Linked DNA regions of Sus scrofa. The protein of the gene in region 1 interacts with the protein of each later gene in a biochemical or structural test. Links are inferred from orthologs where the notes say so. Each region holds a gene or a part of one and is shown in the gene's direction. Other genes may lie near its edges.

Region 1 (6,456 bases):
CGAAAATGCTTCCTTAAAGAATAAACCCAGATCCAAATCTGTGGGCGGGAAATGGTGGAAAGGTGGGGCAAGTGGAAAGGGCGGGGCAGGGGAGGGAGGCTGCGCCCTATTGTCCAATCAAGACTCGAGGGTCACTATATATATTGAGAAGCCAGCCTCCTCTGCGATTAAGCAAGTGGCGCGACTCAGCCATGGCTCGTACCAAGCAGACCGCTCGCAAGTCCACCGGCGGCAAGGCGCCGCGCAAGCAGCTGGCCACCAAGGCGGCCCGCAAGAGCGCGCCCGCCACCGGCGGCGTGAAGAAGCCGCACCGCTACCGGCCCGGCACGGTGGCCCTGCGCGAGATCCGGCGCTACCAGAAGTCCACGGAGCTGCTGATCCGCAAGCTGCCGTTCCAGCGGCTGGTGCGCGAGATCGCGCAGGACTTCAAGACGGACCTGCGCTTCCAGAGCTCGGCCGTGATGGCGCTGCAGGAGGCGTGCGAGGCCTACCTGGTGGGGCTCTTCGAGGACACCAACCTGTGCGCCATCCACGCCAAGCGCGTCACCATCATGCCCAAGGACATCCAGCTGGCTCGCCGCATCCGCGGGGAAAGAGCTTAAATCTCCTGGCATCTTCCTTCATCTAATACCCTACCCCAAAGGCTCTTTTCAGAGCCCCTCAATTCTCACCAAAAAGGAGCTGTGGGTTCTAGATGATATATGTCGTGCCAAAAATATCAAGGTTCTTGGAAGACAGCTATTGTGGGCTCCAACTTGTTCGGAGGTTATGTTGCAGACTGCAAGTGGCTGGCACTTTGTTCTTAGGTTAGCCTATTGCTGTTAACGGGAAGGCGGAGAAACCCTTTTTAGAAACTAAACAGTTATGGGAGTTATGGAAAGAACTGTTGCCCCATTCTTTGTTATTACTGCCTAACGTGAATAACTTTGGAAACAAGTGCAGCTTCCCCTCGCCCCCCAAGTACTGTGCTGTGACTACAGATAGTGCTCCATGTCTTCCTGTTGTAGAAAGAAATAAGGTTGAGGTTCAAGCCTTACAGCTGCCAATTGCTTTTACCTGTATAACCTTTACCAAGTTACACAGCCTCCTTCTGGGACTCCTTTGTACAGCTGTAAAATGTGGCAAACGGATTAAAGTTTGTAGAGAGTGCTAAGGTTAGTTCCTGGCACTTTAGTTAAATACTCAACAAATATTGGCCTCTCCTACCACTAAAGCATGGACCTCGCCACCCCTCAAACCCCCTTACAAAATATTCTGAAGGTTTGGGGATTAAAAATGGGAAATGCTTAGTTGGAACATTTTCTTGTTAAAATCTCCCTTTCTTTAGTTATTGATTTGCATAATTCTGAACGATGCAAGCAAGCCTGAAGCAGCATAACGTGTCTGTGAGGAGTTACAAAACACAACAATAGTAAATAGGTTTAGGGGGCAAAATATAGTCTGTCACATTAAAAAAAAATTTAAAATGGAAAAAATTGGCTGGAGGGCCATGCAAAAACAGATGACTGTCCAGATTTTACTAGAGTAGGCTGTAATTTCAATTCCAGGAGCTCCTGGGGTTGAAGTGTGTTGGTTCTCCGTTTTTCAAAGGGAAGAACCAACTGCTGGTTGCATTAGGTATCCTAAACATCACAACCAAGCTCAAAATCCTGTCCATATCTCGCACCTCTCCTCAGTAAATAGAAAAATTCACTGTCCCTTCAAACTTTTGGTCATTGCCTCAGTTTTCTTGAATGTTAATGTTTTCCTAATTTCTTCTAAACTTCTATAACCTCCAGTCCCTTAATGCTCAACCCATACTTCTCATAGTAGGCAATTATTTCACTGAAGCATATAGGTCTATCTTAAATACATAAAAATTCCCACACTGATGTCCTACAAAAGAGAATGTTCCTGACCATGGAAATTTGTTAAATGTAGATGGAGTTAAGGAGTTTGAGTGAGAGCACTGGGAAAAGCGCCTTGAAAGATAGACAAAATCCCATGCCATCTAAAACAGTTTGAGGTTTTGAGGGCTCCTGGAAACCCTTGAATAATTTTTATCAGGTATCAGAGTTTTTTTTAAAAATACATTATCTAGGCTAAGCAATTTTTGTTCATACTTTAATGGATTTGCCAAGGAGAAAAGGCATCTCAGTCAAAAACATACTAAATTTGTTTGAATTTGAATGCAGTTCATTCCATCCTGAAGCCAAAGCAAATTCTATTCCTCCTGGAAGAAGTCACTCTGGCAACAGTACTATTACGTCTCTGAAGACATGGGCATGTGGAAACTCCTTGAGAGGCAAAACCGGTTTTTAAAGAAAGATGTATATGGTTAATTTGGGGCTGTATGTAACCAGCCACCCTGCGCCTGTGTTACTTCCTGCAGTTGGAAACCAAGTTTATGGCAAAACCAAGGAACCTAGTGTCTTTCCTACTGCAAGAATCAAAGGCCGAATTTAGGGACAAATCCTTTTTAAAAACATTCGCTTGATACTTATTAGGAATTTACTGTAACATCCAACTAACTAGCTCGATGCCTTGAGCCCGGTGGATTCCTATGAAAAGCTGAAGGGATTTTTTAAAATATCTTTCATCAGTTGCGCGTAATTCATTAAAACACAAACAAGTATGTGAACCTGGAGGCTATTTTCCTCCTTTGGAGTTTCAAAGGATAAAATTCTGTACGATTTTTTTTAGCATTTAATCAAATTTGGGGGACTAACAAACACAGTTTGGAAGTCCAACCACGAGAGGCGGCTGCCCTAGGGCGGTGGATTGGACGCTCCACCAATCACAGGGCAGCACCGGCTTATATAAGCCCCAGGCCCCAGCAAGGCAGCATTGCAAAACTTGCTCTTCGGATCTTGAATCCTACTTCCTCTGGCAGTTTCTCCCATCGCCATGTCGGAAACCGCTCCTGCTGAGACGGCTGCCCCGGCGCCGGTGGAGAAATCCCCTGCTAAGAAGAAGGCAACAAAGAAGCCTGCGAGCGGAGGGGCGGCCAAGCGGAAGGCAACTGGCCCCCCAGTTTCTGAGCTGATCACTAAGGCCGTGGCCGCCTCCAAAGAGCGCAATGGCCTCTCTTTGGCTGCGCTCAAGAAGGCGCTGGCAGCGGGAGGCTACGATGTGGAGAAGAACAACAGCCGCATCAAGCTGGGTCTCAAGAGCCTGGTGAGCAAGGGCACCCTGGTGCAGACCAAGGGCACCGGTGCTTCTGGCTCCTTTAAGCTCAATAAGAAGGCAGCCACTGGGGAAGCCAAGCCCAAAACGAAGAAGGCTGGGGCCGCTAAGGCAAAGAAGCCTGCCGGGTCCACCCCTAAGAAGCCAAAGAAGGCTGCGGGGGCCAAGAAAGCTGTGAAGAAGACGCCCAAGAAGGCCAAGAAACCCGCGGCTGCTGGCGTCAAAAAGGTGGCCAAGAGCCCTAAGAAGGCGAAGGCCGCCGCCAAGCCGAAAAAGGCTGCCAAGAGCCCCGCTAAGCCCAAGGCTGTGAAGCCTAAGGCCGCCAAGCCCAAAGCCGCAAAGCCTAAGGCAGCAAAACCCAAAGCTGCAAAGGCCAAGAAGGCGGCTCCCAAGAAGAAGTAGGAAGTTGGCGCTCGAGGTAGCAAACCCCCAAAGGCTCTTTTCAGAGCCACCCAGAGACCTCTGAAAACAGCTGTGCACTAAATATCAACTGTCCTCTTATATTCTTACTTTGGTTCAGGCATTCAACTTTCTTCCTCCGAGAAAGTTTACAAAATACGAAGGATGTAATAACATGGCTGAAACTTTAAAAAGCCCGCGCCGTGTTCTGATAGGTCCCTGATTCAAAAAACAATAACTACGCCCACACCCGCCACTTCGGGCGCCGCCGCGCGAGATCTGATCCGTATGAGTGTCCTAAAAGCCAAAGGTCACACGAACGCGGGATCCTTAAGCCCCAAGCTCAAAAACCGGGGTGCACCAGGGATCCAACCCAACACGCATCTCTCGTGTGTACTATTTGTTTTTGGGTTCGTTGAGCCACAAGGGGGAGGGAGAAGTTCCCGATTTTAAGATGGCTCTTGGCTCAACTTCCGCAAACCACCGGTAACAGTGACAATTGGATTGACACGAGCCAGCTCTTCCACAGAAAAAGTAGGTGGCTCTGAAAAGAGCCTTTGGTTTAGAAGGCTTTGCTACGGAAACCTTACTTGCCCTTGGCCTTGTGGTGGCTCTCGGTCTTCTTGGGCAGCAGCACCGCCTGGATGTTGGGCAGGACGCCGCCCTGAGCGATGGTGACTTTGCCCAGCAGCTTGTTGAGCTCCTCGTCGTTGCGGATGGCCAGCTGCAAGTGGCGCGGGATGATGCGCGTCTTCTTGTTATCGCGAGCCGCGTTGCCCGCCAGCTCCAGGATCTCGGCCGTCAGGTACTCCAGCACCGCCGCCAAGTACACCGGCGCCCCAGCTCCAACCCGCTCGGCATAGTTGCCCTTGCGGAGCAGGCGGTGCACTCGGCCCACCGGGAACTGGAGCCCGGCTCGCGAGGAGCGGGTCTTGGCCTTGGCGCGAGCTTTACCTCCTGCTTCCCACGTCCAGACATGATCCGCAATAGGAAACTGGCACAGAAGAGACTGAAGAGAAAAGAGAAACACTCACAATTTATAACTACAGCTGGGCGCGAAAAAGAAGTTCTTCCATTGGCCAAAACAGCGGTTCTACTTTTTAGAAGACTAATACAGTTCCTGTAGATGCGCGTTCTGATTGGATATCATTGAAAATGACATCATTACTAGTATTTCCCAATCAGACCTAGGCATTCACTAGATATAATTTGCATAAGGAGTTGTAAATAAAAAGAACCCGATGCTCCCGTTGTTCTTCGTTTCTGGAGAATTTGGCAACCTTTCACCATGCCTGAGCCAGCTAAATCTGCCCCAGCCCCAAAGAAGGGCTCCAAGAAGGCGGTGACCAAGGCGCAGAAGAAGGACGGCAAGAAGCGCAAACGCAGCCGCAAGGAGAGCTACTCGGTGTACGTGTACAAGGTGCTGAAGCAGGTCCACCCCGACACCGGCATCTCGTCCAAAGCCATGGGCATCATGAACTCCTTTGTCAACGACATCTTCGAGCGCATCGCGGCGAGGCCTCGCGGCTGGCGCATTACAACAAGCGCTCGACCATCACGTCCCGGGAGATCCAGACGGCCGTGCGGCTGCTGCTGCCCGGGGAGCTGGCCAAGCATGCCGTGTCCGAGGGCACCAAGGCTGTCACCAAGTACACAAGCGCCAAGTGAGTTGCCCCACAGCCACCCATACCGACCCCAAAGGCTCTTTTCAGAGCCATCCACGCTTTCCAAAGAGAGCTGGCACTTAGTTTATCCCTGCAAAAGCAGTAATAATCTCAAGCCTTTAGTTGAATGCCGCTTAATTTGTTCAACACAGTAGATTTTTGATTTGTGGTATTTCAGATGTTTTATCGTGCTTATTCACTTACCAACCAGACTCAATTTGAGTCACCTATTGCGTAAGTTAGGGGCTAGAAAATTTCCTGTTCTCTTTAACTGAACGTTTACTTACAAGTTATCATTTTGAGCAGCCGCAAATCCAGTTTATGCCCTCCCCTTATCATGCTCTATAAATATCACCAAAGAATGAATTCAGAGAAAAGAACCAGGTTGTGTTACCTTTAGATTTTTTCATGTAATTTGATCTTGCTGCATATTCTTAAGTTTTAATGTTTCATCCCCTTTGGCAATGGCATTTCTGTTCACTATTATCTTTACATGATCAAATTTTTTAACTGGGAGAAAGAATTTAGAATGTTCATCAGTTTCTTTTTGTGTCAGCTCCACATTTCGTCTCACTCTATTTCCTCTTCACCTTTTAATTTTTCCTCGAAATAGGGAGAAATTCTAAATGGAAAGGCGATCTTCGATACAAAAAGAAGAGAAAGGGGATGGCATTTTTTTCCCATGGGAGAAGTTCAGTCTCCTGGTGTTTAGGCCAGTATTTTAGGGGTAATTGTCAGGAATCAGTGTGGAAATACTAGTTCCAAGCCTTCTGCAGACTATTATCAGACATTAAGATCTTAAAATCCAACACCATTACTGTTTTTCTAGACATTATTCAATATTTCCTATTAGGGAATTCCCATCCTGGCTCAGTGGTTAACGAGTCCCACTAGGAACCAGGAGGTTGCAGGTTTGGTCCCTTCCTTGCTCAGTGGGTTAAGGATCCGGTGTTGCCGTGAGCTGTGGTGTAGGTCGCAGACACGGCTCGGATCCCCTGTTGCTGTGGCTCTGGCGTAGGCTGGAGGCTACAGCTCCGATTGGACCCCTGGCCTGGGAACCTCCATCTGCCGCAGGAGCGGCCCAAGAAATGGCAAAAAGACCAAAAAAAAAAAAAAAAAAAAAAAAAGAAAGAAAGAAAGAAAGAAAATATTTCCCATTAAAGGACAGGAGGCCTTAGACTTCCGGGAATAGAAAGTACAAAAATGGGACTGAATTTATGAGCCCAGG
Region 2 (7,937 bases), on another chromosome or scaffold:
CCAGAAAACTTTGAAAGCTAAAGCTTTTTTTTTCATAAATCATTTGGCAATAAATCTGACTTTATCTAAATTAATTTAATGACAAAATCTCACTTCAACTAATATGAGGTTAGTTATGTATATATTTTTTATTCTATTTAGTGTGAATATTCATACATTTTGTTGCAGGAATGATATGTTTTCTTATCAAATGCTTCCACTCGTTTTCCACAAGTATTATGCCATATATATGGTATATTATATTCCTTTTATTAATTTTTTAAAATATGAAAAATTCTGAAACGTGTCTTGCATCAAGGGTTTTGAATAAAGGATTGATAGCTTGAATTATTCCCACTATACATACATGAAAACTCAAAGGTTAAATAATTTTCCCAGATATGTGAATCTAGAAATATTTACTGTCAAGTCAGATCCCAAGAATGGTCAACGTATAGCTGGGATATTTTAATTCAATTAAAGCTGTTACAAAACAGAATTTGTCTGCACTATGTCAAAATGGTTGGCCTCTTAGGGAAGAAAAACCCTCACTTGTTGTATTTTTGTATATACCAGTAGCAGTTCAGAATTGGCCAGCAGTTGATTGTCTGAATTAATATCTTGTAACCAGTTGTTAAGAGGGTTATTAGCCAAATGATTTATATTTTGAAACTGGCCTTAAAATCCTCCCAAAATAAATAGGGTTTTTTGTTTCTGGTTTGTCTTTTTAGGGCTGCACCTGAGGCATATAGAAGTTCCCAGGCTAGGGTTCAAATTGGAGCCTATACTACAGCAACGCCAGATCCAAGCTGCATCTACAGCCTACACCACAGCTCACGGCAATGCTGGATCCTTAACCCACTGAGCAAGGCCAGGGATTGAACCTGTGTCCTCATGGATGCTGGTCAGATTTGTTTCTGCTGAGCCACAAGGGAACTCCCCAAAAGAGTTTTAATGCAGCAATCCTTTTAGGTTTGTGTATGTTAAGTAATGGAATTACAAGTGCTTGGAAATAGATTCTCAAGCAATCGCTTACTTTCATTAAATATTATTTCATTAATAGAACTACTCAATGACAGGAAATTATTTTTTTCTTTCTAGGTATGATCACCGATCTTTTCATAGATAAATTCAAGTTCAAAGGCACCAATGTAAAAACCAAAGTGCCTCTTTTACTGGAGATTCTGGACAGTTATGACCAAAATGCATTGATTGCTTTCTTTGATGCTGCATGAAATGTAAACAAGGTAAAGCTCCAAAGAAGCTGTTTAAATAATTGTCTGTTTAAATGAAAAATGTTAAAACAGAATTACAAGCTAACAGTACATACTTTTATTTCAAGTGCTTTTTAATATCTAAAAATATTTGAGGTACAACCTTTTTTAAAGTAATGCTTCTATTTTTTTGACAAATGAAACTTTTTAAAAATGAAGAGATGTTTTATTTTAAAACATAAATGAAATGAGTCTGATGGATTTTAATGAATTTTTTCCAAGTGGATGTTTTAACTTTTAATTGAGAAATATTATTTGTAAAGTAAAAATATATTCAAAGATTTAACAAGCTAATACATATATGTATAAACTCAGTTTTCAAAATTGTATTTATGTATGTTATCTCATTTGATCTTGACAATATATTTATGATCATTTTGTCAATTCATATAGGAAAACTGATTCTTAGTGAGGTTAAGTGTTTAAGAAGACATGCTATTAATTTGTAAATATGGGATCCAAGTTCTGGTTCCTGGATTATGTTTTGGTTACTATGTATGTGTACAACCTATAAATTTTTTTTCCTAGGAATTGAGATTGATTTGCAAAACTGATTTTGCTGTTGCTTAGTAATGTTTTGTGACCCATGCTCAGTTTGTGAAATATTTGAGTTGACTCAGCGCTATATTTAACTTGTTATGACCAAGGGAAATCACCTGGGTGGGCTTGAACAGACTGGGGGATCGTAACTTAATGTGCTGTAACTAGTAGGACTATGTAAGTGTACTACATGTGAATAGTGCAAAAATAGTGATAGCTTCTTAGATTTTCCTGCCATAGTATCCACTGATCTCCTTTTAATCATATATGGGGGGAAATATGACTTTAAGGCTATGGAAGTTTTGTTCATTAATCTTAATTCATATTGATTCATATTCAGGTGAATATTGTACGTAAAGGGTGTTTTAAAATACCGTAAGGAAATAGAAAATAAGCTATTTTTTATGTTTTCAAGAAAGGCTCGCTCACACTCATGAATTTGTTGGAAAACAGTGCTTCTTAATTATATACCATTATAATTATTAGATATGTGCAAGCCTTGTATATTAAATGTTAGAATTTGTTAAGGCACATATTGCTAACAGAGTTTTATTTTAATAAGGTCATATTGTTTTTACTATATTTAAACATTCATTTCTAAATGGAGCACATAATTATATATAGATCACTAGAATTTTACTCTGCTTTTTGTTGGCTACCACAGCTTGGGAAAGAAAGAGATGAACATTAATGACCATCTAGTGGAGTTTTTTTGTAGTACATTACTCTTTGCTACATCTATCAACAGTAGTACAAGGTGGTACTTCAAAATAACTGCATCATCATTAGAAAAATAAAAAGCATGACTGTGCGAAGCACTTAAATGGTAAGATGATGTAGTCTGCCACTTGAGTATCAGTTACGTTAGCAGTGTGTTAAATGACTTATGCACGTTATTTAATACTAAGGACACCTATATAACGCATAAACATTATTACTCCCAATTAACAGTTACAAAACTGAGAATCAACATTGAAGTGCTTGAACAAGATCACCGGGCCAGTAAGTGGGCGGATCAGATTTTAGACCTTGAGAAACTAGTCAGTCGAGCTAACTGGAGGTCCTGAGGCTAAAGGCCAAGGTGGCCCACTAATAATTGTTAAAATTTAATTTAGTTTATTCTAGAGACAGCCCTTGCTCTGAGACAGGGACCCCCTAGTGGCTCCGTTTAAAGTCACAATAAGCTTAGGCCCCGCCTCTTTGCGCAGCGCGGGCGTACTTCCTCCTGCTGCTCACCGACTTTTCTTCGCCCCGCTCCGCCCCTGCTCGGTTTCCTTCGCGGCAGCCTTCACTTGCCTGCGACTGTGTCGCCCAGCGTGACGTCACGGGCCTTGGCCCTTATCATTGGTCCATTTCAATAGTCGCGGGCTACTTGAACTGCAGGAACAGCTGCCGCTCCGGCGGGCTGCTCGCTTCATTCCGGGGGCGTCCTTGACCCTGCACGCCCGGCAGCGCCTGCCTCCGGCTTTTGCAACCTCCTTGGTCCTGCACGATCCTGAGCAGGCGGGCGGGCAGGCTGGCCCGGGCTGTGGCGGGTAGGTAGGGCAGGAGTGTTCCTCGGCGGGTCGGCGGGACGCAGTGCACGCTGCTTGGCGCCGCAGGCTGATCCCGTCGCGCCCCCGGGAGCAGTGATGTTGGGCAGCTCCGCGCCCGGGCCTGTGGCCCGCGAGGCGGGCTCGGCGTTGCTAACATTGCAGCAGACGGCGCTCCAAGAGGACCAAGAGAACATCAACCCCGAGAAGGCTGCGGCCGCCCAGCAGCCCCGGACCCGGGCTGGGCTGGCGGTACTGAAGGCCGGGAACTCACGGGGTCCAGCGCTGCAGCAGAGGCCTAAGACGCGACGGGTAAATGAGTTATTATCTGGAGGAGGGTGGGCCAAGCGGGAGTTTTGCATGGGTTTGGACCGCAGAGGAGAGTGGCGAGGTAGCATCTCCTGGGGTTTTTTCGGGAGGCCAGTGTCGGGGGTCCCTTTGACCTCTGGTTTTCTCGAGTGTGGGATGCCACATTACCCCCATTCCTTTCTCCCATTAGTCTCCCTGCCAGCACTATGCGTTTATGTTGCCTGTCTGCTCTATGGAGAGTATTTTGCTATAGACAATAATGGTCAAACCAAATCCTCCGACGTTGAGTATGTGTTAAGTACGGTCTTTGCCGCCTCCGCGCCTTTCTCTCAGCTTTTAGGCCCCAGGCATTGCCCGGACCTCCTTCATGCTACCCACATAATTAAGAGATTACCTCTACTTTAGAAAAAGGTATAAAAAATACTTTGCTTTTGGACAATTCCGCCATCTTACCGAATTTGCTCTGTTGCTCCACCCTGGGGCGAAAGAGGTAAACCACTTTTTTGCCATTTCTCCTAAATTTGGCATCTTTTGGCCTGCCCCACCACCTATCTTAGCCCTGATTATTTTTGTGTAATCCGTTAGTGTGACTCTAAAACCTCTGCAGGAACGCATACTCAAATTTCCTTGCCTGAATTTTGCCCCATAAAGTTTAATTTTCCTGATAGAGTATTTGGAAGTAAATGCAGTATAAGGGGATGAAAGCCAAATTCCATTTAATAGACTCAAAGCCAGTTATTTATTTTTAGGTTGCGCCTCTTAAGGATCTTCCTATAAATGATGAGCATGTCACTGTTCCTCCTTGGAAAGCAAACAGTAAACAACCTGCATTTACCATTCATGTGGATGAAGCAGAAGAAGAGACTCAAAAGAGGCCAGCTGAATCTAAAAAACCAGAAAGTGAAGATGTCCTGGCTTTTAATTCAGCTGTTACTTTACCTGGACCAAGAAAACCACTGGTACCTCTTGATTACCCAATGGATGGTAGTTTTGGTAAGTTTTAAAGAATATCTGTATCAAATAAATGTAATCATAATTATTGCATAGGTAAGTTTAGAAAGGCTGTGACTTATTTCAGGCCTCACAGTTTATCCATGACCTAGTGACCTACAAAAGGATCTTAATCCTATACTCTCTGGTACACTATTAATCACATCAGTTTTATTAGATCTCAAACACTTACTTTAATCTGACCCTGGACATGTTGCTTGATTGGGAGAATATATTTCAATTGTATTCTTAAGATTCACTTTGTATATACCATTTCAAAGAGTGCTATTTGAGGATGTAGTTTAAATATTGTGATCAGGAGTTCCCGTTGTGGCGCAGCGGAAACGAATCCGACTAGGAACCATGAGGTTTCGCGTTCAATCCCTGGCCTTGCTCAGTGGGTTAAGGATCCAGTGTTGCCATGAGCTGTGGTGTAGGTCGCAGATGTGGCTTGGATCCCACGTTGCTATGGCTCTGGCGTAGGTTGGCAGCTACATCTCTGATTAGACCCCTACCTGGGAACCTCCGTATGCAGTCCGGTGAGGCCCTAAAAAGACAAAAGACAAAAAATAAATGTTGTGATCAACATCTCTTCCAGCTTTAAACTTTTGTTTAAAAGCAGTCTGAGTGATTGACTGACACCAGGGAGGGACATGGTTATCCTGTGAGTCACAGTTGAACTATGCTTTTTTGTACATTACCACATATAATAGATGGGCTCACTAAATCTAGTATATTTTAGTTCTGTCAATGAGAGGTATAGCAGGGAAGTCCTTTGAAAATAAAATAATTTGTGTACTTTTATTTAAAATGTACAGGAGTTCCCTTGCGGCTCAGTGGGTTAAGGATCTGGTGTTGCCATGTTGTGACTGGTTACAGCTGTGGGAGGGTTCCATCTCTGGCCTGGTAGTTGCCACATGCCCTAAAAAGACCAAAAAAAAAAGAAAAAAGTAAAATTTACAACAAATTTTAACCTCAGATTAAACCTTGAAGTAAAAACATTAATAGCTGATACTTTTTGCCTCCAAAGATAATCTAAATTTACAACAAAGAATCTCCCCTTGATTGTAGTGTTAATAGGTTGGAACTGCCCATAACAAATATAATTCTCTTTAGCACACATTAGCCTTCTAGTTACCGTCTAGATTGTGCTTTGAATACGTCAGACTTTGGGGTCTGTAAGCTCCCTTATGACAAATCCTAGGTATTACCTCAAAACTTGATTTTAACTTATTCTGACAGAACCGTTGTACTCCTGTCATGGGAGATGAAGGATACTTTAACAAAATATCTTTTCCTCAAATTCTTTTTCCTGTTAATGGCTTATCAGTATTTTTTTTTTTTTCTTGTTAAAATCATTCCAAAGCTAGGTGGACAGAGGTACGAAAATCAGAGTGAAATCCTCTATGTATTTTGTCATAAGAAGCTCTTTTTAGTTGGATAAAATAAATGCTTTGGTAGTATGGGACTCCTTACAAGGACAATCACTTTTAGCTTTAATTAGATAGAAAATTAAAAGTAACTTAATCTTATTTCTTAATTCTCCTAGAGTCACCACATACTATGGACATGTCAATTGTATTGGAAGATGAAAAGCCAGTGAGTGTTAATGAAGTTCCAGACTACCATGAGGACATTCACACATACCTTAGGGAAATGGAGGTAAAGGCTCTCTAAATCTTCTTATACTGTTGTTTATTCACTGTGGTGAAATGAAATTGAGGGTAATGTTTTAAATTTTTTAATTGCCAGTGGATTACTCTTAGGCTATACCTATGTTTCCAGCATGTAGCATCTCCTAATGGTAGAATAATCTAATTGCAGTTTTAACACTATACTAAATAACTTTCTCAACAGGTTAAATGTAAGCCTAAAGTGGGTTACATGAAGAAACAGCCAGACATTACTAACAGTATGAGGGCTATCCTCGTGGACTGGTTAGTTGAAGTAGGAGAAGAATATAAACTACAGAATGAGACCCTGCATTTGGCTGTGAACTACATTGATAGGTTTCTTTCATCGATGTCTGTGTTGAGAGGAAAACTTCAGCTTGTGGGCACTGCTGCTATGCTGTTGGCCTCGTAAGTCCAACTTGGTTTGTTGGATTTAAAGTGATTCATAGTATCTTTCTATTTAGGGAAGAAATGTGATTTTTAAAGTGTGACATTTTAAAACTTATACTACACAATGCAAAGTCAGTGACTACTATAGGGGTGGTGGTGTGGGTGAAAATTTTTAAATTTCAGACATTCGTTTTCCTAGTTCTGGATTTGAGGGCACATTGAATGAACATATAGATTACAAAGTGGCTCCTTCCACTGGAAAGTATTTTCTGGTATATAAGCAAAATCTTATTTTTTTTTCCCCATTAAGACATGAAAACTAAAAACTAAAATATAAAGCATTTATTTTTCTAAGAAACTTTCCTACATTTTCAGTTTCTTGGTGAACTCTGGTACTGTTTCCATCTTGGGAAGTCTCTTGCCTCATTTATTTCCTTTGACTGCAGTGGGAGAAATATTTGGGTCTTAATTAGCATTTACACAATCTCTGCTAGAAATGGTCAATTATCAGTGGAAATAAGCAACTGGTGGTAAGTACAGGCTTTGAATTTGTTTTATTCTACTTAAGGAATTTCAAGTTGGGGTAAACTTGCTTTTCTTTTAGGAGGACTAATTACTTAAAACTTCTTTCATTGTAGAAAATTTGAAGAAATATATCCCCCAGAAGTAGCGGAGTTTGTATACATTACAGATGACACTTATACTAAGAAACAAGTTTTGAGAATGGAGCACCTCGTTTTGAAAGTCCTTGCTTTTGACTTAGCTGCACCAACAATAAATCAGTTTCTTACCCAGTACTTTCTGCACCAGCAGTCTGCAAACTGCAAAGTTGAAAGTTTAGCCATGGTAAGTTCTTTTCATGTTGTTGAATGAAGATCCTGAGGTTACAATTAGGGGTAAACCGTAGTTTCATTATCCAGCCTTGGTCAAGGGATTTAGTACTTCAGGGATAGACTAGTGCCACAGTATGAAAGAAAGCCTATCACCAGCAAAAAGGAATATAAATTGAGAAAGCACTAGGGGTGGTGCTATGACGATGACTTCCCCGGAAATGATAGCCAAAAGAGTTGATTTAAGAGCTATTAGAGGAACTATACATGATGGGAATGAAGCAAAAACACTGATAGTGGATATATTTAAAGATGTGGCTATGGATTTTTTTTCCCCTATGGTTGCTTTAGAGCAGTTTTAAAAGACAGAAAAAAAAAAATGTAAGACCAGAACGCAAGGATTTCAAGTTTGAATTCCAG

Evidence for each region.
Region 2: of the proteins of histone H1.5 (region 1) and CCNA2, one has a biochemical effect on the other in vitro, tested with the Homo sapiens proteins (2 studies listed by BioGRID). The link is inferred for Sus scrofa from reciprocal best matches to the Homo sapiens genes H1-5 and CCNA2.

The regions. Positions count from the first base shown.
Region 1 is NC_010449.5:21,619,027-21,625,482, reverse strand, and holds histone H1.5, read left to right. Parts: upstream 1-2,836; 5' UTR 2,837-2,886; coding exon 2,887-3,567; 3' UTR 3,568-3,620; downstream 3,621-6,456. UniProt on the Homo sapiens protein: Histone H1 protein binds to linker DNA between nucleosomes forming the macromolecular structure known as the chromatin fiber. Histones H1 are necessary for the condensation of nucleosome chains into higher-order structured fibers.
Region 2 is NC_010450.4:102,256,990-102,264,926, forward strand, and holds the start of CCNA2 (cyclin-A2), read left to right. Parts: upstream 1-3,356; 5' UTR 3,357-3,424; coding exon 3,425-3,637; intron 3,638-4,383; coding exon 4,384-4,627; intron 4,628-6,173; coding exon 6,174-6,286; intron 6,287-6,481; coding exon 6,482-6,705; intron 6,706-7,325; coding exon 7,326-7,533; intron 7,534-7,937. UniProt on the Homo sapiens protein: Cyclin which controls both the G1/S and the G2/M transition phases of the cell cycle. Functions through the formation of specific serine/threonine protein kinase holoenzyme complexes with the cyclin-dependent protein kinases CDK1 or CDK2.